Kluyveromyces lactis: one gene and its partners. The protein of the gene in region 1 interacts with the protein of each later gene in a biochemical or structural test. Links are inferred from orthologs where the notes say so. Each region holds a gene or a part of one and is shown in the gene's direction. Other genes may lie near its edges.

Evidence for each region. The genes of interacting proteins can lie anywhere in the genome.
Region 2: the proteins of MIA40 (region 1) and TIM13 form a complex in vitro, tested with the Saccharomyces cerevisiae proteins (2 studies listed by BioGRID). The link is inferred for Kluyveromyces lactis from reciprocal best matches to the Saccharomyces cerevisiae genes MIA40 and TIM13.
Region 3: the proteins of MIA40 (region 1) and ERV1 form a complex in vitro, tested with the Saccharomyces cerevisiae proteins (9 studies listed by BioGRID, with this or other methods). The link is inferred for Kluyveromyces lactis from reciprocal best matches to the Saccharomyces cerevisiae genes MIA40 and ERV1.

What each region holds. Positions count from the first base shown.
Region 1 is NC_006040.1:226,465-234,839, forward strand, and holds MIA40 (Mia40p), read left to right. Parts: upstream 1-3,101; coding exon 3,102-4,322; downstream 4,323-8,375. Other genes in the region: CYB2 (L-lactate dehydrogenase (cytochrome)), read right to left, coding at 1-787; palmitoyltransferase YKT6, read right to left, coding at 2,100-2,702; mRNA splicing protein SPP382, read right to left, coding at 4,699-6,702; protein kinase regulatory subunit ATG17, read left to right, coding at 6,917-8,188; threonine--tRNA ligase MST1, read right to left, coding at 8,297-8,375. UniProt on the Saccharomyces cerevisiae protein: Required for the import and folding of small cysteine-containing proteins (small Tim) in the mitochondrial intermembrane space (IMS). Forms a redox cycle with ERV1 that involves a disulfide relay system.
Region 2 is NC_006042.1:1,404,716-1,412,279, forward strand, and holds TIM13 (protein translocase subunit TIM13), read left to right. Parts: upstream 1-3,574; coding exon 3,575-3,880; downstream 3,881-7,564. Other genes in the region: ERG1 (squalene monooxygenase), read left to right, coding at 1-745; CBP4 (Cbp4p), read left to right, coding at 1,325-1,756; APS3 (Aps3p), read right to left, coding at 2,083-2,624, 2,700-2,721; QCR9 (ubiquinol--cytochrome-c reductase subunit 9), read right to left, coding at 4,572-4,778, 5,278-5,346; E3 ubiquitin-protein ligase UBR1, read right to left, coding at 5,741-7,564.
Region 3 is NC_006038.1:536,702-544,474, reverse strand, and holds ERV1 (flavin-linked sulfhydryl oxidase), read left to right. Parts: upstream 1-3,388; coding exon 3,389-3,471; intron 3,472-3,557; coding exon 3,558-4,089; downstream 4,090-7,773. Other genes in the region: SGD1 (Sgd1p), read right to left, coding at 1-1,456; protein-degrading AAA family ATPase MSP1, read left to right, coding at 1,985-3,067; VRP1 (Vrp1p), read right to left, coding at 4,167-5,936; KLLA0_B05995g (heme-dependent oxidative N-demethylase family protein), read right to left, coding at 7,251-7,773. UniProt on the Saccharomyces cerevisiae protein: FAD-dependent sulfhydryl oxidase that catalyzes disulfide bond formation. Required for the import and folding of small cysteine-containing proteins in the mitochondrial intermembrane space (IMS).

The sequences.
Region 1 (8,375 bases):
ACATTGTAGTGGAAGTGTCAACTTCCTTAACGTTAACCAAGATTCTTGGCTTGAAGAATATACGATGGTATGCAGCGTGGTTTTCTCTATGTGTAACTTCATCATCAGCGGCAGAAGAGTAGTAAGACCAAGCTTGCTTAGTCAAGATTTGGGATGCCAAGAATTCGAAATCATAGATGTTAACCAAGGAATCAATATCGGGTAAAGATTGACGCAATTGTTCCTTTCTTGCCACATCTTCGGGAGTTTCACCTGGGGTCAATGCAGCACAGACCAAGTCATCAGGCATTGTACCATCTAGTGGACCAATTCTGTTCTCTGGAGCAATGTATTTTTCGATGACATCTGGAGCATGAATTGGAGCAAAGATCTTGGTCACATCTTTTCCTGCGTTGTTCTCAATGATAGCTGGACCACCAGGATGGGCGCTGATGAAATCAGTCAAATTGTATACGTAACCCTCAATGACCACCCAACAGTCTTTGGGAGAAGAGTGCTTTGCGACTTCTGTTGGAGAAACCTTTGGTTTCGTCATATCGACCTTGGCACCATTTTCAACGCTATCATTGAATTGAGAAATCAATGCAATACCAACCGAACCGGCAACAAGAAAGGCACCACCAGTGATGACTTTCTTACCGAACGAAAACGCACTATAGCCAGACTTAGCTGATCTCCCAAAACGCAGAGTAGCACTAGACTTATGAATTGGAGATTTACTACTGGTGCTAGCAAATCTCAACCCACTAACACGGTTCTTACCAAAAACTCTTACGGCTGATCTCATAGTAATGACGATGTTGATACCTAGGGGCTTTGTTTTCTGATTAAAGATTATACCAAACAAATTTAACCTCAACCGCACTATAACCAATTCCCAACTGCGACATAGCTCTACTTATATATATATATATATATATATATATGTTATCTATTGTCTATTACATCTGCATTAAACTCGAACTAGTCATTTTCGTCAACAGCAAATATCGGGCCAACTCTTCGCAAACTCCAGAAATGAATGCCTCTTTCTCTAGTGTGGGATAAAACGCTAAACAGTTTCCACATTCGTGGGTCACATTGAGTTGGAACAAGCGGATCTTCGGATTACCAAGGACGCTTGATCAGTAACAGTACCCCAAGGCTATTTTCATTGACGCACTGGACGTCAACCATACTGTAATTGGTATATATTTGGAATTATATCGGTATAAAAATTGCACGCAACCCACGCGCAATGAGGGAACCCCATTCTCATTCGGCTTTCTGGATGTTCTCTATGGGTCCTGTATTCCCTCAATGTAGGCAAAATTCACTACGCAGTTGCCAGCCGAACAGTTGGAGATCTAAGGTCAGATGGGTCAACAAACCTGCAATAGCGTAGGGAGTCGTAGCAGACGGTAGATAGAACAGTGAAGTGTTCCATAGCTTGACATAGAACACGGAAAACGGTAAAAAGGACGTCTCGAGAGGTTTGCGCATGCATAACGGCATTTTGAACTGAAAAAAAAATTGTAGCGTGGGGAGAAAGCAGACAGGGTGGGTCGGAGAACAGGAAACAGGGCCCGAACTATACCATCGATACGCTAACGATGAGCTTGAGAAAAGCGAGATTCGGAGTGACTTTTGGAGCTGCTGTTTACCTCCTGTATATTATGTGTTTGGGGGGGATAACGCTGTGAGTAAGTACTCCGAATTTAACAGGCAGATAACGTAATATCAGGTGAGCAGGCAATGGTCGGTCTTGGACCTTATGGTATCTTGGACAAAAGACAGCGTCCAGCAAGTAGACTCCGTGGCCAAGCTGGTTAAGGCGTGCGACTGTTAATCGCAAGATCGAGAGTTCAATCCTCTCCGGGGTCGTTTTTTTTGGAGAAAATTTCTTTCAAAATTGATCCGCTGCCCGTACTCAGCCAGATGATGATAGATAAATCAGACCCTAGTGGACAGGAAGGAACGAAAGGCTGATCAAAGGTGGCGGTCAAAACGCCGGTGAAACCTTACTATTACTTTATTTTGATTACTATTATGCTTAATACTCGTAGCAAGGGCTATATATGATCAGGCTGGCCATGTTTTGGCCTCTATTTCAAATCCGTCTACATAACTATACAGCACGAATTGGTTTTCTTTGCTTGCTTATAGAACATCCTCGATGCAGCAGATAGTGATTCGGACTTGTCTACCAAATTGTCCAATTTCTCACCTCTTTGTAATACGTTTTCAATGGTTTTGTGTAGCGTGATCTTGGTCTCGTCTAATTCTTGCTGTACACGCATTATTGCATCAGCTTGAGATGGGTCCTGATACTTGGCAATATAGATATCCAACTCCTTCAACTTGAGCGAATCGTCACTCTCCGTCACGTCCTTCCACTGGATAGGAGGGTGCGCTACCAAATACTCATCCAATACTTTGTTCAACAACGTATAAGCTGGTCTTACTGGGTACTCCTTATCCGTAATCAAAACACCACAAATTCCTTCAGGCCTTGCGTAAACGTGACCTACATAGTTACCTTCTTCAACACTCTGTCTTTGACCAGCACTTGTCCTGCCAGCAACAGTCTCACTGAAAAAGGACATGAACTGTGCAACACTGTTCCTTTCAAAGAACCCAAATTGTGATAAGTCCTTCACAGAACTTAATTCAAGGGTCTTATCATCGCTGTTTCTTAAAACTCCAATGTAATATATCTTCATCCTTGTATCCTGTATCCTGTTTTCTCCCACTTGTCAAATGAGAAAAAAAGCTACTATTTTGCCCAAACTTAACTATTCTTAGATCCCCTATACGTGTACTATAACACTGTCCTTCTCGTCTCCGTGTTATCTTCAAAATACATCATCATTTCCCATCCTCATATCACAATGCTTCAATATCCATTTTGTTTGATATTCGAATTTTTCTTTTTTTTGCTAACAAAGGCATTTTCAATTTGTCAAAGGAACATTTAAAAGAGAAGCTGATTGATACCCACAACGGGAGGAAAGAAATTTGCTTTTAGTTAGGTTTGGTATTTTTACAGTACACTTAGAAAACGTTTGAAAGTTGCTGACGAGTCAATTGATTATAGGCATATACATATTTTTTTGAAGACAATGTTCCGTGTTTCTTTACAAGCTACTAGACGTGTTGCTTTTAGATCCGCTAGACAAATTAGGTTTTACAGTGCTCATCCACCTTCCGGTGGAGTGAGCCATATGAACAAGCCAGCATTGTTGTTGGCTGGGTTCAGTACTCTTGGTGCCATCTACGTTGCTGATGGGTGTCCTACTTTGATTGAGAGGAAGCCTGCTCCTGCTGAGAAGCCTGCTGAAGAGACTCCTGCAGCGGGCCAATCACAATCTATTTCTGAACCTACGAAGGATGCCGATGAATCTCCGGTGTCTGCTCAGGAGGAAGGTGCTGAGCCAGTTACTACTCCTGAGAACGAGATTACTTATAGCGAGGAGACACACCAGGCCTTAGCAGCCACCTTATCAGGAGATGAGCCAGCTGCCATTGAGCCAGTTGCTGAATCCGTCAATGAACAAGCTACCGAACCAGCTGCCAGTGGAGAAGCCACCAATGAACCTGTTACTGGCATTTCCGAGGATACCAAAGCTCCCTCTTTGAGCTTCGATGACTCAAAAACTGCCAAGGGTGTTGTTTTAGAAGATGAAGCTGACAAAAAGGAGATTCAACAAACAAGCCCAGATGCCGTAAAAACCGCCTCAAAAGACGGTTCAGAAGGTGAATCGGATGTTGTTTTGCATGAAAAATCTCCTGCTGAAGCTGAGACCATAACAGAAGCAGAAGAGCAAGCTGAAATTCGGTCTATCTCCGGTGGCACTGCTGAACAGTCCGCTACTGCGGCTGCTGCGGCTGCAGGTGTTCAAGGTGAAAAAAAAAACGAACAACAAACTGCATACAACCCAGAAACTGGTGAAATCAACTGGGATTGTCCTTGTTTAGGTGGTATGGCATACGGTCCTTGCGGTGAAGAGTTTAAGTCCGCTTTTTCATGTTTTGTCTACTCTGAAGCTGATCCAAAGGGTATCAACTGTGTTGAGAAGTTCTCCACTATGCAAAATTGTTTCAGAAAATACCCAGACTATTATGCTGAACAAATCAAGGATGAAGAAGAAGCTTCTGCAGAAGCTTCAAAAATCGAGGATAAGAGCACTACCCCGGTTTCAACTGCCACCTCTACTGTTGAAGTACAAACTGAAAATGCCGTTTTCGAACCTGTCTTGGAAAAATATGTGGAAGAAAACCCTCAACTAAAGGATACTCCTGAAGCTGCCGCTGTCACGAACACTGACGATGAAAAGAAATAGAATCTTCCCGACCCTGAACTGCTGCCGTTAAAGATACTTTTTTAAATTTGCCAATGAGCATCATGAATTCTGACGTTTGAACAAAGATAATAAAACTAAAGCTAAAGAAATTAAAAAAATTACGTGGTTCCCTTGTTTGTGTTATATCCAATTCAAATAAAAGCCCATGGCTCTCGTAATGAACTGACCTGTTCATCGAACTCGCCTTCTTTGTCCAATAAAAAAAAAATTAACATACATTCTTATTACATTCTACAATTCCATTCGACATAATGGCAATGTGAAAACGAACAAAAATCCAATGAAATGTTCTGATAGCGTGTATAAACACTACATAAAGACATTTTCCTAATGATATGCCATGCTTATTCTGTTTTCAAATTAGATCCAGTAATTGGTAGAGAAAAATTGGCTCAAATCTTGATTCTGTTCTGTTTCTCCTTTGTAACCATAAAATATCTCCCATAAGGACTACATTTACTCTTTTATTGTTATATTTACTCACAGTGAATACCGGAGCTACCTTCTCTTTGCCAAATATATTAATTGAGGCAGTATCATTATCAGTTTTTCTGAAGGATAATCCATGATCATGACAAAAAGTTTCTACAACAGTTTTAAAGGTGGTAGAAATTTTGGTCATGGGTGTATTGTTAAAAGCGTTGAACCTGGATTCCGACTGGCCAGTGCTTTCAATTAAACTTTTCAAGGAAAGCCGTTCGTCATGGTCCGAAAGTGTTGACGGATGATCGACAAAGTCAAGAAGTTTCTTCACTTCTTCTACATTATCTAATGAAGATGCAGTGTAAATTCTATTAATCATGTATTTTAGCCATGAAGAAGCTTCATAACGGAAGGTGCTGCTCTTAAACACAAACCATTGGAATAAGGTCTTTAATAGCGAGTTGTTAATGACCTTATATACTTTATTCCTGGTTGGCAAATCGAAGAAATCATTATATTCTTTCAACACATCAATAATAGCTGAAATGTAAATTTCATTCTCTGCATCGGTAAATTCGTCAATCAGGTGAAAGTGTGAATCGAAGTAATCAGCGAAAGATGAAAGCCAATACCTGTTGACTAATTCATAAAACTTGGAGTCACCCACTGCCTCCTTCAAGAGAATAACGTTTTGAGGGTTAACAGTCATTGAAGGTTCCCAATTTTTCAAAAACTGCTCGAACTCCAGCAGGATAAGTGCTTTTAATGACTTTAAATCCCTTTCTCCCAAAATGAGATGCAACTCGCCGTATGTCACCATGAATTCATCTGACAGAAATTGAGGAGAAAGTTGTATTTCGAGAGCCGGCATAATGTAGCGGGAAAGGAAGTGTTCCCTGCAGCTAATAAAGTCAATAATAGGTAAATACTGAACGGTTATTTGACGTAGCATCCTCGAATATCCGGTATTTGAATCTAACCAATAACATAAGGGTTGATACACCAACCTATAAATGCTGCTTTGTGTTTCGTTCAAAATATATCCAGATTCCATTCTATATGAAAGAAACCTTATTGCTGCCCTCAAATGGTTCAACTTTTCGACCTGCATATCTGCCGTATTAATTCCACGATTAAGCTCTTTGAGCAAGAACATGGTACAGAGCTTATCAAGTATGTCATCGTCATTTATTTCTAGGCATTCAGTAATCTGATCTTCAAGACTTGGTTGCGAAAGTTGTTTTTCCTTGACTTTTTCTAAAACACTTTGTAGCCTTTCCTCTTGGTGTACTTTGCGCTCGTCATCTAGTTGAGCTTTTTCCAAGCCAACTTGTATTCTATCTATGTCCGAATGAAGCTGCAGAAGCTTATTAGCAATTTCATTCAAAGAGGAAATCTCTTCTTCATGTAATTCAGAACCATTGATTGTTCTTGTCACCGTATCAGGTAGTTCTATTTTTAATTCCGCAAGGAGACTTATATTTTGAATCAATTTCTCAAGCTGGGTGGCACGACGAGTCTTAAACTCCACTGTTTTCTTTTTATTTGAACTTTCATCTGATGATGCTGAAGTATTACTATAGTTGGAGTCATCTCTATCATGTACTGCACTTAACATCCCTAATCCGACACCTTTAGGACGAGTGACTGTTTCGATTGGGTTCACTATACCTTTCCCATCTCGTCCTAAACCTTCACCTTGTTTGTAACCCATTTTTGATAAAAGCTTGGCACCCATACCATAGGTCTTTAACATCTGGTCGCTTTTCAATCCATCATTGGAGTTGGCTTGTCGTACCGGTTCATAGTCTTCTTCTTCTTTTTGTTCTTCATTGTCATCGCTATATCCATATGGATCGGTAAATACCATACTATTCATTGTCATACTGATCTTTCTTCTTTTGAACTGATCATCGTCACTGATATGTTCTGACATCTATACTGAATCACTGGAGTAGTAATAGCTGACTTGGAGTGACTGATACTCCTTTCAATCTTTACTCCGATTAATAGGTATTTATTCATACTTTGAAAAGATTTAAAGGTTTGAAGTTCAGTCTTCGAAGTGAAATTGACCGTTTAAGGGTTTCAAATTGGAAACGTTGAAGAGATGAAGATCTTTCGGTTGATCTGAACTGCGTCTACAAGAAATGAGTGATGCTGCAACTACTATACCCAGTGATGAGATAGATAAATTGTGGAATAAGGCGAGAAACCAGCTTGTGGAAGCTCAAGTCGAATGTGAAGAATCATTAAAAATCCTCTCTAAAGTGCGAACTGAAATGGACAGCTCTCAAAAGTCCAGATTTAAACTTAAATTTATACTTAATTGTTTGGTGAACCAGGTTGAGTTCTTCAAGAATATCATGCTCGAGAAATGTATTTCTACAGAGTTGATTGACAATGAATGGTCAAAGCTGGTTTTAGTCGAGATAGTCAATGACGTGAGTTATTGGCAAAACGAGATAACAACAAAGATGAAGATCTTGCAGGGTACAAAATACGACTTGACTGACGATCACAGTAGCCTTTCAGATTTCATATGCATGGATCACGTAGACATACTACAACAAAAAATCGATGAGATTCCTATTATAAAACAACAAGTGACAAACATACGACAACACTACAAATCGATAAAAGATCGAATAGAAAACCAACTAGTGGCTGTAAAGTTGAAAAAACTCAGAACTTACTTTGATTCACATTTCAGCAGGGATAGCAAAAATAATCTATTCAAATTGTTGGAAAGTGATTATGTCACTGAATTGAACGAATTTGAGAATGAACTTGCCGATTTCTTGAGATCAATCACTGATCATTTCGACAAATGCACGATATTGAAGGAACAGCAGATTCCACTACCAGATTTGAAGGAACTTTTCCAGATTGTAAAGAAAGACGATACACAGTTAGAAAATATAAGGGAATTAGTATTCGAAACGGGACTTGAAGTGAAAGCTTTCTCAAAGAAAGTCAATGAAACAATAAGTGAAATAATGGACAAAATTGGTGGATTCCATCTGCTGGCTTCCAAGATTGTGACAGAGTTAGAAAAATGTGAGGAATACTTATCTATCTTCCAAAAGATTGCTAATTTAGTATTCGTTTATAAGGAATCTTGCATAAAAAAGATTGAACAAGTGCAACAACTCTGTGAGTTTTACGATAAGTTCAAATTAGGGTATAAAAACCTTCTACGAGAAAGAGACAGACGGAAAGCCACTGCGTTACAAATGGAGAAAATATTAAAGGAATGTCAGGAGAAACTACAGGCACTGAGTGATGCTGACTTGGACCAACGCCAGCAATTTTTACTTGAAAATGGTGACTATCTTCCCGAAAACATCTGGCCAGGTTATATCGACGATATGGAATCGATGTATAGTTTCGAATATAGCATACATAATGTACCGAATTGACGGTATTGTGTTATTATTGATACATAAGTATACATATTTACAGGTATAAATTATCTTTTACATCGTTATGGTTAACATTACTTTCTGTGGTTCAAAAATTGCAAGGTATCATTTATAATTTTTCTCAAGATCGACGAACCTTTCAAAGACATCATCGATAGTTAGTAAATCCACTTTCTTCGACTCC
Region 2 (7,564 bases), on another chromosome or scaffold:
TATTCTAGGTACTTCACATATGCCCGTGCTCGTATATCAAATCTCCTCTGAAGAAACAAGAATTCTATGTGCATACAATTCAGCAAGACTACCTAAAGATATAAAGTCGTGGTTGACTACTGATGTTAAACCATACTTACCTAAATCTTTGTTGCCATCGTTTGATAAAGCGGTTGAAGATGGTAAATTCAGATCAATGCCAAACTCTTACCTACCAGCAAAGCAAAATACTGTCACCGGATTATGCGTCATCGGAGATGCCTTGAATATGAGACATCCTTTGACTGGTGGTGGGATGGCTGTTGGCTTGAACGACGTTGCTCTACTAATCAAGACTGTTGGTGATTTAGATTTCTCAGACAGAGAGACTGTCCTTGATGAATTACTAGAATACCATTTCGAAAGAAAGCAATATGACAGTGTCATCAATGTACTATCCATCGCTTTATACTCATTGTTTGCTGCAGACAACAGAAACTTACAAGTATTACAAAGAGGTTGTTTCAAATATTTCGAAAGAGGTGGAGACTGTATTAGATTGCCAGTAAGTTTCTTGGCTGGTGTTCTTCCAAAACCGTTCTTGTTGACCAAGGTGTTTTTCTCAGTGGCATTGTACTCCATATATGTTAACTTCCAAGAAAGAGGCATTTTGGGATCCCCTCTGGCATTATTAGAGGCATTTGCTATCCTATTTACAGCTGCAAAAGTGTTTACTCCTTACTTGTTCAAAGAATTGATAGGTTAATGTGGTTGCTGAAATCCATCCGCCAAAGAAATTCAAAGATAGAAATATAAACTAATGATAATAATAGACTTCTGAGAGTAAAAAAGTAGCTTCAGATTATTTGATCCTACATTCTCTCATAATGACTTTTTTTTGCCTTCGCTTTTATCTATACATGTGATGAACGCATCTGACAGAGATGTTGAGGATACTAACTTATTCAATTTTAATATATACATGTGTGTAGTAAGCAACTCCTGGGCCACACCACCTGTAGTTTTTTACCGTAATAATCTCGCTTGTTCTATCCGCCTACAGACTCCTTCATGGGCTGTACTAATCCATGTTCTCTCGACAAAGCTGTCCTACGTTGCGCTTCTTCAAACCACTAACGGTGATTATTTGTATATATATGTTAGTTGTTACCCGCACATATTAGCTTATGGCTAAAGCCTCTGGAAAAAGTAATTATAACGGAGCTAACCTTTAAAAGTAGACAGAGATGTGGAGCAACGCTGAGTTTACACTCTTGATGAGACAGTTAAGAGCCGTATCACACCAGTGAAGCGTTGCATTTATCACGTTTATTTATTTTTTAGCATGGAGTCTTCGGGTTTTTTACGCTGGGGTAAAGTTTTCGCTGCAGGAGGCAGTATTATATTAACTGGTGTGCTTTTATTCAAATATACAACACCAACCGATGAGCAACTCCTTCAAGCATTATCACCGGAGTTGAGGCTACAGTATGAGAGAGAGAGGAATCTACGTCAAGCTGAGCAGCAAGAACTAATGAAAGTTGTACAGCAAACCATGAAGAGTAAAGATCCTATTTGGAAAACAGGAACGGTCGATTCACCATGGGAAAGAAATGGAACTCAAGCCACTAAGGACCAGTTCCAAAGATTGAAGGCAGATCAAGTTCAGAAGGAAGAGTTGGAACGGATCAGACAGGAATTGGATAAGATTAGAATGGAGAGTCTGGACCAAACAGATATGATCGTTTCCAAAAAGAGCTGGTGGAGTCTGTGGTAAATGCTGGTATTCTACGTTTCGATATCGGATTTCTCTCGAAACCGAGTTTAGAGCTCAATTTGCATTATTTTTTCCTCAAACTTTATGGCGGAAACCAATCCATCCACGTTGATGAATCGGTTATCTGAAAGTTACTTTACTAACCGCCTGTAGATATTATTTATCGTTGTTTTCGAAATCAATGGAGTGTATATAATTTTTCCATGAGTTTCGACTTTATTTATTCATATGATATTATTATAATCCACTATTAACTATTATGCTGCAAGGCCTATCAACATTAATATGACATTGGCGTTAAGATAGCGGGGTTATTTTCTGATTTATCATTGATGTGACCCCCAAGCACTGAAATTTGAATAACTGAACGCCTGGAACGCCTCAGAGATTCGATTCCCTGCTAGTTTGGTGAAAGAATTTTCACTTTCATTAGCGTTATTCAATTCATCTACAGCACTTACGATTTTCCTTACATTGGTCTCTATCACCAATCCACCTTGGATAATCTCTTCAAGTACACTTTCCAATGTTTGCCAATTGAAGATTAAGTCTAGCTCATTCACTTCTTCGAAACATTTATCCAATGCCTCTACAAACGTTTGAATCAAATCTAAGATTGCTAGTTCTGATTCTTGTTCATCAACTATAAATGTGAAGTATAACGTGGCGTAGTTCTTGTATATGATTTGAATATCTTCGTTATCACCTGAGTCCATTAATAAAGATGGAGGAGTTACTAAGAAAGATGACTGCACCTGACTGTTACGCTGAGATATAAGTTCATATACTTGCTGTAATAAAAGCGTTTGCTTTTCAACCTCTACAGGTGTATAAAATTTTATCAATCTTGGTTGACATTTCTTGTTAACTGTTGCATTTGGATCATCATTAAATGTTAGTAAAGCTTGATTTCTAGGGTATTGCTTGGTAACACTTTACATACATATTAATACTGCATGAATCATGACTGGCCGTTGCCAATTGGTCTGTGCTTGTCTGTTATCAAAGGCAAGTTATTGAACTACCTTGTTCAATGATATCTATCTACTATTCTTCGCAAAATATACTTGTAACTTCTCATCATCATTTTAACTTATTTCAATTGAATTGGCACTTTCGATTTTCAAATGTTGGATTCATGCTGAGAATTGTAAAGATGGGTTTTCTGTACAATAAAAGAAAACGAGTAAGAAACACATCGAGAGCCGTTAGTGAAACCTTACCGATACTATTGAATTTGCATTGAATGAATCGAAATGCTATAGTGGATTCAGTTTATGAAATAGGTAGCAACGCTTGATAAAAAAATTGAGTGCTCAATAAATTATTGAATAATGAAAAAGAATGCATCGGCCGGGAATCGAACCCGGGGCCCAACGATGGCAACGTTGGATTTTACCACTAAACCACCGATGCCTAGTATTTGTTGATGTCTGTTGTACTAAGTTTGGGGTACAGTAACGTAATGATAATCATGCGACTACATATATGCTCCGTGTGACAAGTACTTGGACAGTGGTTCATATTAGTAAGTAAATCACTCTGGGGAACTTCCAAACATATCTTCCAATAACGCGGTAAATCGCAGGAAAGGAGAGGTTGTGAAACGGGCTGAAACAATAGTTATCTATCCCTTCCATTGCTGCTCGATGTGAAGGAATGTTTCTTCCTCATATTGAAAAAAAAAACTAATGATTTGAAGCTTTAGCATAAACTGAAATATCCATTGGCAATCTACAATTAACAGCTATAATCTATCATCCAGGCCCCTCTGAACATTGCATCGGATCAATAATCTATCATAGAACACATTAAGATATGGCTTTAACTTCGATCTTTGGTGGTAGCTCTTCATCATCTGGTACCCCAGCCACATCCAGTCCTAGCGATGTCAAGACCCAACTTAAATCTCAAATCTCTCAAGAATTAGCCATCGCCAATGCTACCGAGTTAGTTAACAAAGTCACTGAGAACTGTTTTGAGAAATGTCTGAATGCTCCATATGCTGCTTCTCAAGATAACTGCGTCGACCAATGTTTGGCTAAATATATGAGAAGTTGGAATGCCATTTCAAAGGCTTACATTAACAGAATTCAGCAAGCTTCGGTTAACGGTGAAATCTAAGGGGCGCAACTTTTGAGATAAAAGAAGTTATTTAATGCTCTGATTCATTACAAGCTACATGTATATAGATTTGTATAATGTTATATTCGCGTCTTACGTATAATCATACATTATGAATGCTATTTCATACCCGTCGAATAAATTCAGGTATATATATATAAACAAAAGTACGGTATTGGTACACAAATAATGGGTAATTCTTTTTTATTATCGTATAGACATGATTAATACACAGAAACAGCACAAACAATACATTGTATTTAAATACAATTGAGCCGCATATGTGATTGATTGATGAGATTTCAAATAAGTGAGTTGAAAATAAATAGGAGTAGAGGGAAAAACAGCTAACAACAAATAAGATGAACATCAATGCGCAGATATTCACGCTTTATGGTCATATATGTTTTACCCTTTTTATCTCTTGAATCGAGTGAGATTCCGATAGCGAAAAGGATGAATGTTATGAAAATCTGAGAACATCATTCCAAAGTTGATGTCCTAGGCCTGGTAGACGTATGGAGTGCCGGATAGATAAATGTTTCCCGACAGTAGCGTATCCACATTTTTAAAATATGTTTTGAAGTGACGGTATATTCTAAGAAGTAAAATAATTGAACAAAAGCATCAATGAAAAGACACTTAAAAGTATAATGATGAGAAATGATATAATTCAAATGTCAAAAGAAACTTATTCATCGTCTTCTTCATCTTCTTCACCACCGTTCATGATACCACCCTTGATATCTTTCCATAACTTACCTTTGTTGTGGTTTTCGTACCAAGAGGTCACACCAGTATCGAAGGCAGCTTGGAAAACGAAGGCAGAGGCGAACACGGTACCAACGAAAACAGAGTTTCTCTTAAAGACAGTTTTGTACAGAGTAGAGGCGAAAGACTGTGATAATTAAGTTGTTCAGAAAAATAATTGTTAGTAATATGATCTAATATTTCATGTAGTCAATCCGCAATGATCTGGGAAAACAGCCGCTGGATTTTGCCCAGAAGGTGTCCATTCTTCACTTGTTTGATGTAACTGATATACATGCGATAAGCCATGGTCGTACTTCGAAGATAAATGTAGTATTGAGACTGCCTTTCTATTATATGGAGATATCGGTCATACCTCCAGGGAACCTTAACAGGCATCGGAAACACCACGGGATATGCAGACATTCAGCTTTGGAAGTATATTTCACTAATAATAGTATAATTGTACATTAGCATCTGCTCAATGTAATTTGCATCGTGTTTACAAACAGTTTTTTCAGTTCCCAGTTTTCGGTTTCTCAATTCCAGAAGTCAAATAAGACATCTACGCCAAAATCAATGTTTTCAGATCCAGAAAAGACGCATATCATATGTATTATCCATGACTAATCAAATCATTAACATACCATTTCTAAAACGGGAGTTCTGGTTTCTGTTGAGCTGAACTTTTTCTTATTAAACCTTGTCTTTGGCATCAGTCGAAGTTAGCTTTCCGTTTTATACATTTATCCAGTTTTTCAAAAATTTGAAGAAAAGTTCCGTACTCGGATATAATTGGGTCGTATGGTATGATATCCAGAAGTAATCACGTGCAAAAGTCTAGTACTGGGAGTACTTTCAACATGAATTATCAAAGGGTGGGACAGAGTCAGGCTACAATAAAAGATTCTGTAAGATATTGGACGGCATAGTATCCTGTGGTCAGTCCACTCCACATATTGCAGATTTATGCAAAACTAGTAAAAATATCTTATATCGATGTGTGCATAAACGAAATAACGTGCTATTCTATATATATTTGGTACATTGAAGTTGTGAATGGTGCCATAAGGTTAAGGCAATTTTGAGGTGTGACGAGCAAAAAGTTATTCATTCTACGTTATTTAACTCGTTGAAATCAAAACCTTCTTCTGCAGAACTGTATTCCGTGTCTTGATCTTCCGAAGCGTTGTTTTCGTGCTCTTCGTCCTCACCATCTTCATTGCCGTCACTTTGATCATTCAGTTCAAAGTGCTCTCTATTTCTATCTGCACGGCCGAAGAATCCATTCATTGCATTTCCTTGCAGTTGTTCAATGATATCTTCTGTAGTCGGAATGTCTGCGCCATCACCTTGCATACCCCCTCTCATGTTTTGAACAAACTCGAAAAAATCATGTATGTCACCTCTTTCGGTTGGTAATCTTATAGGGATATCTCCACCGAATGGTCCACCATTGATGCGTAATTCAACATCAGGCTGTCTAAACCTTAGATCTGGACGATCATCATTCCCAAACTCATCATCGTTCATAAGGTCCTCGTCACTGCTCTCCCCACCAGCGTTGAAAGCAGCACCAGGTCTCCAAAACATGTTCCTCGTAAATGTTCGGTTATTTGCCATCGCAACCCTGAATTCGTCCCCCATTACTCGGCTGATATAACCGGGGATACCATTTGAAATCCAAAGACGAGTTAAATGTTCATATCTAGCATGATTTAATACTGTTAGATCACCTCGTTCGATAGCGTTTCTTCCTGATTCACCGTGTGAGTTCAAATAAGGGGCCGAAATGTTGACGGTACAGTCCGGTCTACTTAAATAGAGGCACACTTGACTGATATTAGGAATTAAAAACAACCCACTGGAACCATGGGAACACCTTTCCATGTGCTTTTGCATTTCAAGGCCATCTGTACGTGCGTGAATCTTGACACCACATATCAAACAAATTTTATAATCAAGTCTGTTGACAGTATTTCTAATTTTTTGATCATTCTCTTCACGCAAAGTAATGTTTTTATTATTAGTCACATAAGTATTCAAATGAGTTGCTAAATCGGTTAATTTGATGATACTGCAGTACTCATGTGGAGCATTAACCAAGGAGCTTTCAGGGGAGAGAGGAGAATGCGAATTCATCAACAAGTCATAAAAATCAGTCTGGAGCAAAAATCTTATCAAAAGATGGAAATGTTTTTCTTTGCTTTCGGAAGTAAGGCTACCACTCAGCACATCTTTTTCATTAAAATCTAAATCATCCCCCCCTGTCATAAATTGCTTTAAGGCCTTCAGCAAGATAATTGATCTCCTTAGCGTAGGTAGCAATTCAGAAATTAAGAAGGTATAGAACAAATCCAAGGTGTGCTTTTCAACTTGATCACCAAATCCAGCTCCTAATATCGTTGTTTTCAATACAATTGAAAATTCAGAGGAGTCAAGGCAAGTCTGGGCTCGAAGCTCGGATTCATATTTCCTATAGAAAGACCCAAAGTCTTTTGTCAGACCCTTCAAACGCTCCACGAGTACTTCCTGTAAACAATCCTTAAAGGAAAGTCTAGACCTTAATACCGTTTCAACAACTCGGAAAAACGGATAACTTGGTAAATTGCTGCTACGAATATCTTCATAGAATTTGAGTACATTCTCTTCAGTATGCTTAGTTAATCGTGTGTAGACAGCCAAGGACTTGAGAATGTTCTGCAGTGTCTTAAATTTCTGTTCTTCACCTGATAAGAGTGTTCCAAAAGGATCTTTATTAAGCCTGGACAACATCTCTAGCATACAGATGTTGTTAGAAAACTGAAGAGAGAGAGTTAAAAACCTATCCTGGATCCAAGTAGGATCATTGCGATTTAACCGTAGACCATTGTTAGAATCTTTGAGAGATAGTATTATTTTTCCAACTTCGTCGTTACATTCAGAGCTGTACTC
Region 3 (7,773 bases), on another chromosome or scaffold:
TTCTTTTCAATTCCTTGTTAGTCTCCGAGTCAGATTCCTCAAGTTGTTTTCTTCTCAAGGATGGTGGTACGTAAGATTTATTCTCTTCGATGACTGGGGCGGCGTAAATGTTCTCCTTTTGCTTCGTGCGTGTAGATGATGGAGCGTTCCCCTCTAATTCATGAAGTTGTTGCCATTCATCTTCATCCAAGTCGTCTTCGTCGAATTCATCAAAGTCTCCACTTGATAACTCATCATCAGACGAAAATGGGTTTTCGATTTGTCCCTCTTCCGTTTGTTCATCTTCATCTTCATCATCTTCCGATATTAGTTCATCTTCACCATCGTCTGAGACATTGCTATCATCTTCTACATTTTCCTCTCCACTTTCATCATCTCCAAAGTCTTCAAAATACTCAAGACCCTCTAGTAAACCTCCAATAGCATCGTATTCATCTGTGGCACGCAATTTTTTACCGTTTTTCAAGCCCAACTTGCCAGCATAATATTTCATATCCAGTTCATCTCTTTCAATCGCTGCTCTGTCCTCTGGTGTTAATGGACTGTAAATCTCAGACTTTGATTTAGACTGTTCTTTCTTTCCAGACTCTTTGTTATTCTTATTAGAGCCTTTCTCTACAGTACCAGTGGTGGTAGATTTGGAAGACTTGGCTTGTAACTTTTTATCTTTCATTGCCTTCAAAGCTGCCATTGTTTCTTCTACACTCATTTCTTCCAAACCACTGTCGCACTCTTCATCATCATCCATATCATCGGCTGAGTATTCTTCATTAAGTATTTCATCATCTTCAGATGAATTTTGGGCATCATCAACTGCCATTTCACTTCCAGATGGGTTCACTTGTCGCTTTTTTTCCTTTAAAGCTTTGAGTTTCGCCATAGTTTCTCTAGCCGTAAGAGGTTCTTCTTCTTCTTCTTCTACTTCTTCATCGTAATCGTCATCGTCATCGTCATCGTCGTCACCGCCGTCATCCTCTTCTTCTTCGTCGCTGTCTTCTAATTCACGTAGTTGTTCCCATTCTTCTTCATTCAGATCGTCTTCATCGAAATCATCGAAATCACCACTTGATAACTCATCATCAGACGAAATCTCTTTCACCTCATTGAACTCGGAGAATCTGACTTGTTTTGGCTTGACTTGAATCCCAAGTTTTACTTTTTCTCTCTTAAGAGATGATTTTACGGCTGTAGAACCATTTTGTCTATCTTTCTTTGCTGATTCAACATTCAATGAAGTAGACGTTTTCTGAATATTATTTCCAGACCTCTTTATTTTCTTACTCTCACGTTCTTGTCTTCTCTGTTCTTTTCTGCTCAAAGGAGCTTTTCTTTTACCATTGCGTTGGACTTTCTTCACGTTAGGAAACTGATATCTCTTATCCTCTTCATCATAATTTTGACCCTTGAGCTCATCCAACAACACTCCCGGTAATCTGATAGCATGTTTCTTACTCATAGCTCGAATGTGTTGTCCCAACAATTGACGTTTGCTCTAATCTAGTAAGAGAGCTCGGAGTAAAATAATTAGTTACGATCTCTTCGAATTGGCCCTGGACTATTTTGACAATGATAGCAACAGAGCTAGGATAAGTAAATATGATGATTTTTCGAGAATATCAGCTGCAGTCTTCAATCAAACTGGTAAATTTCGGAACAAAGAAGCCTTGGTAACCCAATCCAACCCAGCTGATAGCGGTTTTGTTCAATAAACATACATGAAGCTCATCGCATGGTCTAAATTTTTCAAGTTCCACATTTTTTAAAGGTTTCTTTTTGAACTATTTGCGAAATTAAAGAATCAACACAATCGAACACATACAGTGATTGAACTTGCAAGTAACAAGTGGCAACGTCACACGGCGAGACCGAACAGCGATTACATCCATTGGAGAATACGTTTGATATACAGAAGCTCTCTGATAAGAAGCCATTCATTAACCAGGGAAAAAACTGATTTTATCATTCTTGCTACATTACAGGAAAAATGGCTCCAAGAATTGACTTAAAGACCATTACCGATTTATCTGTTCTCTTCGGAACTGCAATTTCAGTGTACTATTTGGTGAATAGACTACTAACAGAGGCTGAAGGAGGTCCTTTATCAGGTAACTCGAAAGAAAAGAAGGAGAGACAATCGTTAGTATGGCAAAGATTATGTGCTGCCAACCCCGAATTGGATGATGTCAGTTTGAATGCATACGAGCGTAGCGTACTTGCTTCTGTCATTACGCCTCAAGATATCGATGTTTCTTTTGAAGATATTGGTGGGTTAGAAGACGTTATCGAGGAACTTACAGAAAGTGTCATTTACCCTCTAACAAGTCCGGAAATTTTCTCCGAAAGTGCATTATTGGAGGCGCCAAAGGGTGTTCTTTTGTATGGACCACCAGGATGTGGTAAGACTATGATAGCAAAAGCACTAGCACACGAAAGTGGAGCCAATTTTATATCTATCAGAATGTCTTCTATAATGGACAAATGGTACGGTGAATCCAATAAGATCGTTGATGCCATGTTTTCTTTGGCTAACAAGATTCAACCATGTATCATTTTCATCGATGAAATTGACTCCTTCTTAAGACAGCGTGCTTCATCAGATCATGAGGTGACATCTATGTTGAAAGCCGAGTTTATGACTCTTTGGGATGGTCTTACCTCCAATGGGAAGGTTATGGTACTTGGAGCCACGAATAGGATCAATGATATCGATTCTGCATTCCTAAGAAGATTACCTAAAAGATTCCCTGTTGCATTGCCTAACGCACAACAACGTCATAAAATACTAAAAGTGTTTTTGAAGGATACAAAGTCAGACCCTCGCGATTTCGATTTGGATTACATTGTACAATGCACATCTCAGATGTCAGGATCCGATTTAAAAGAACTATGCAGAGATGCTGCACTTACTGCAGCAAGAGAATATATCAAAGAGAAACGCAAGCTGACAGAAACTGGAAAGACAGACAATCTAAGTCGCCTCAAAATGAGGCCCCTAACAAATGAAGACTTCTTGAAAAATCTCAAAATCGACGCTGGTGCAACATTTTCTAGAGCTGCATTAGATTGATTCATAAGAAAGAATAGTTATATACTTACTCTTATCTCATCAAGTAAGTAATATACCTGGTATATTTGTGGTATCATCCACTTCAGTTTGTAAATAGAGTCATACATTTTCAAGAAGGGTTATAGCTGTAATCTCATACATGTACTGAAATTTTTCTTTGTTATCATCCAATGTTATCTTCTATCTCATCGCTTCATAAATTTGATCTGAATTTAAAGATTTCGATTTCAATGCATCTCTCGAATGCTTACAAATTTAGAGAATAGAATTCATAAAGATGCAAGCATACGACCAAATCTTTCCAACCAACCTGCATGAATCATGTCAAGCCGTACTGAAACTTCTAAAACACCAGAATTTGGACTGTCTGGAAGAAAAATCATCTACGATGAAGATGGAAAACCGTTCGTATTTTGCAACCCTAATATCGAGAAACGAAATAATCGAATTTCAGAAAACTTTTACTAACGTTTATGTACTATCAATCTAGCTGTCGTTCATGCAATACTTTGTTGGACTTTCAATTTGTGACCGGCACTTTGAAGGCTCGGGGAAGCGGCAATTCTTCTGCTTCACCAGTGGCGGATTCCACTCAGTCTCCTGGCTCCGGTGAATTAGCAGCTGGGGCCGCGACAGATATTTCAAATACTTCAGCTGACCAGCCACTGTTGATTCCTGGATCTAAGACATACTCTAAGTCTGGGCCTGCTGATGTCGAAGAGCTAGGCCGTTCTTCTTGGACTTTGTTACATACGATAGCTGCCAAGTATCCGAATAAGCCATCGGACACACAGAAACAAGAAATGAAACAATTTATGACCATATTCTCTCATGTTTATCCATGCGGGTGGTGTGCTAAGGACTTTGAACTATTTATAAAAGAGAACGCACCCAAGGTTGATTCAAAAGACGACTTAGGTAGATGGATTTGTGCGGCACATAATGAAGTTAATGAGAAATTGGGAAAGGAGAAATTCAACTGCGATTTGTGGAAGAAAAGGTGGGTAGATGGGTGGGATTAAGTGTTATACTTCTTCCTCTTCCACTCGTCTAGGAATGCTTTCATTAATATCTTATATAGTTCTTACTCATTATAAAGTCATGTAAATACAGTAAAATCTAATGGAACACTTGAACCTCTGCCACTTGGATATAGTTTTCTTAAGCCCAAGAATTGTCTCGGTTTGGGGAGATCGTTTCTGTTAGACCAATCGAATTTTGAATCATCAATGGTTATTCCACTGTTATTCAGCTTTATTCCGGTCGTATCTTGACTTCCTTCTATTGTGAAATCTCCGACATCTATTTCAGCAGCATTTGTGTAAGGGTTAGTAGATTGAGATGGTCGACTGGCTTCATTACCAGATGAAAAAAGTCTGTGTTTGAAGAAACCTTTTGATGAGGAACTATTTGTGCGTTCCACTTGAGGTTGCTGATTTTGTTGAAGAGATTCCTCTGAGGCTGCGGGTGGAGGTGGTGGAGCTTTGGCAGAGGGAAATGAAGCGGCTTGTGGAGGAGGGGAAGGAGGAGCCGTTGGCGCACCCACTGGTGTATGACTATTCTCACTTTCGATAATGTGAGAATCATCCCTTCTGCTTTGTATTGATGCCAGAAATGGTAATCCTCCGGCTGGAATAGATGGTGCTTCAGAACTTGGGGTAGATTGAGGCAGCGTAGGTGCATTAAAGGAAGGAGTAGGTGGGGCCGGAGGGGCAGGAGGGGCAGGAGGTGCAGGAGGTGCAGGAGCCGGTGGGGCCGGAGGAGCAGCAATTGAAGGTGGAGCAGCAGGAGCTGGAGTTGGTGGAACCGAAGGAGCACTGAACGAAGGAGGAGCCGGAGGAGCAGATGATGAGGGAAGCGGTACCTTTGGAGCGGAAGATGCTGTATTATTCGACGCACCATGTCCTGTTCCTTCAACTACGAATCTGTCATCTCTCTTTCGTTGAATCTCCGCCAGGAATGGAAGTCCTCCAGCTGGGGACGGTGCAGATGGTGGTGGTTGCGGCGTGGACGTTGGGAATGATATGCTTGGAGGTGCAGGTGGGGCTGCAGGAGGGGTACTGATTATGGGAGGTGCTGGAGGTGCTGGAGCTGGAGGTGCAGATGTAGGAGGTGCAGGCGTAGGAGGTGCTGGTGGGGCCGCAGGAGGGGTGCTAATTGTGGGAGGTGCTAGAGGTACTGGAGGTGCCGGAGCTGGTGGCACGGCTATAGGAGGAGCTGGAGGTGCAGGTGGTAACGTTACAGGCGGAGCAGGTTGTGCTTGAACCGGAGGTGCTTCTGTGCGTTGTCTTGCTGGAGGATGTTTCGGAACCGGTGGTGTGTTCATCATGGGTACTGGTGGCGGACTTGTTGGAATTGCCGGTGCTGCCATTGGAGGAGGAGCAGGAGGAGCCGCCACTGACGAATCACCCTCACTTCTCAAAGTCTTTTTACGCTGTGGTCTATTAGAAGGAATTTTTGGGATTGAAGAGCTATCCGGAAGCGGAGGAGCTCCAGATGGAATAGCTGGTGATTTAGAGGAACCCGAAACATGTTTTAATTTAGGGATCCCACCAGCAAGTATATCTCCCAATTGAGGGACACCGGGAAGCTGAGTTGGAGTCGGGATCGATGGTGCTACAGGCGGGACTGCTGAGCTCGATACTGATACAGAGTGGCTCATCGAACTTGATCCTCCAATCGCAGGTGCACTCTTATCCACAGTGTGTGCTTTCTTAAGTTTTGCACCTTTCCTAATATCACTCAATAAGGCATCACGTCCTGGAACAGCCGCTGGGGGTGGGACAGGAGTTGCAGCGGAGCCAGCATTGGATGAATTTCCGCCAAACATAGGCGGAGGAGGTGCTGGTGGTGGAGGTGGACCAGCCATATTATTCTAATTTCTATGTTCAGCAAGTTATCTATAACAAAGTATGCTCAAATCCTTAAGTCTTATAGAACTTTTAGCGGAAACACACTGGTCAATTGGTATCGCTATGATTCTTTTCGAATAACTACCTTAAACGCAGTGGACCCCTATGCACTGCAACAGTTTGTTTCTCTCTGATTTGACGTTTCTTTCATTTTTAAATAGCTAATTGATATCTGGAAGCCTCAAGGATACCCGGACACTACACTTTCCACCCAGACACTACACTTTCAGTTCGGTGCTAAATCAATAATCAAGAAGAATACGGCAATGCAAGACGATTCTATGATACTACTACAGTACGAAGTTCACTGGACCTCTTCATGATTTCGCGGTAGCATCGGCATGTAGTAACTAAATGAGGAACATCGTTTTAGTGGAGTGCCATTCCCAGTTACCAGCCCTATACGAATAATTTACCAATATAATATATTCGGGTAACATTTTGGTATTGGACCTTGTCTTAAAAAAGTTTTCAAAGGCGATCAAGCATCTTAACAACTTACTATGTGAAGAAGGTACTGAAATCTATATATCATGTACACTATCTATAGCTAGTACCACCACCATCGGGGATTGGATTAAAAATTGAGCTAATATATTCCACAGCAAGATGTAATACGTTGTCAATTCTTTGTTTTGTTAGTGACAGGTGTCCTAACGCGAAGTAATGCATTTTCTGTCGTCGTTCTTTTAACTTAGCTAATGGAATCCGTCCTCATAGTATATAGATTTTAAGTGGCATCTTCGAAGATCCGTGCGCAGTTTTTCTTTCAGTGGTGCATGGATTCAAAGCGATGCCCAAATTGAAGATAAATTCACAGCTTCTTGCTGTGTGTTTCCCTCGTTTCTGTGGATTTTCCTCTGTTGAATGCTAAAAAACATCATCACGAATTTTCACGAATGGTTTTGGATGCATAAATAGCGTCCTTTACCCAGGAAACTGGGGCACATCTCTAAATCGTATGGTATTTTGTGATTCGAACCTTGGTTACCCAAAAAGCCTTATAATTTAGTCTCGGAAATGAACTTCTTGCACATGGTTTCGTATTCCAGACTTGTGAGGGAATGTCTTCTCAATCTTTCATAAAAATATCTATTCCGCGATAGTTTAATGGTTAGAATTCGCGCTTGTCGCGTGCGAGATCGGGGTTCAATTCCCCGTCGCGGAGAAGCTTTTTTATTTTTTCGTCACTGCATTCACATTCGACTCAAGCTCTATTAACAACACTCGTTAATTTAAGAGTATCTGTCAATATTGTTCGTTAAAGTTATTTACAACTTTCTATGTAATGCTGATTCAAGCATTTCAAGCAATGCTGGCCCCCACTCGGGTTTACGCTTGTATTGTCCAATTGAATCTTGCATTCCTTTCACTGCGTCACATAAATCCTGAATAACACCTTCCTGTGAATAGTAATCGTTTGCTAAGAACTCATCTTGCAAGTTCCATAGATACGTCTTGATAGAAAAACACATTGATTTTGAGTTTTCTAATTTGATTAGACATTGTCTTTCAGATCTGTAATGCAAATCATGACCTCCATGCATCTCTTCTAAAGTTTTCGGACGAATTTCCTCTTCCTCTGTACCCTTATTATCATCTGTGACAAACAGTTTGGAATGTGTTTGGAACGAGAAGTTTATCCTCATCACTAATTTTCCGGGTTTGTGAGTTTGGAAGAATTTATTCATTTGCGTCTGTAATTTTTGCTTATATTCTGGAACAGGTCCATGGATTTGTGTCATGGGTTTGAGGAATCGTTGACGAGGATTGAACCCTGCTGCAAATGCAAAA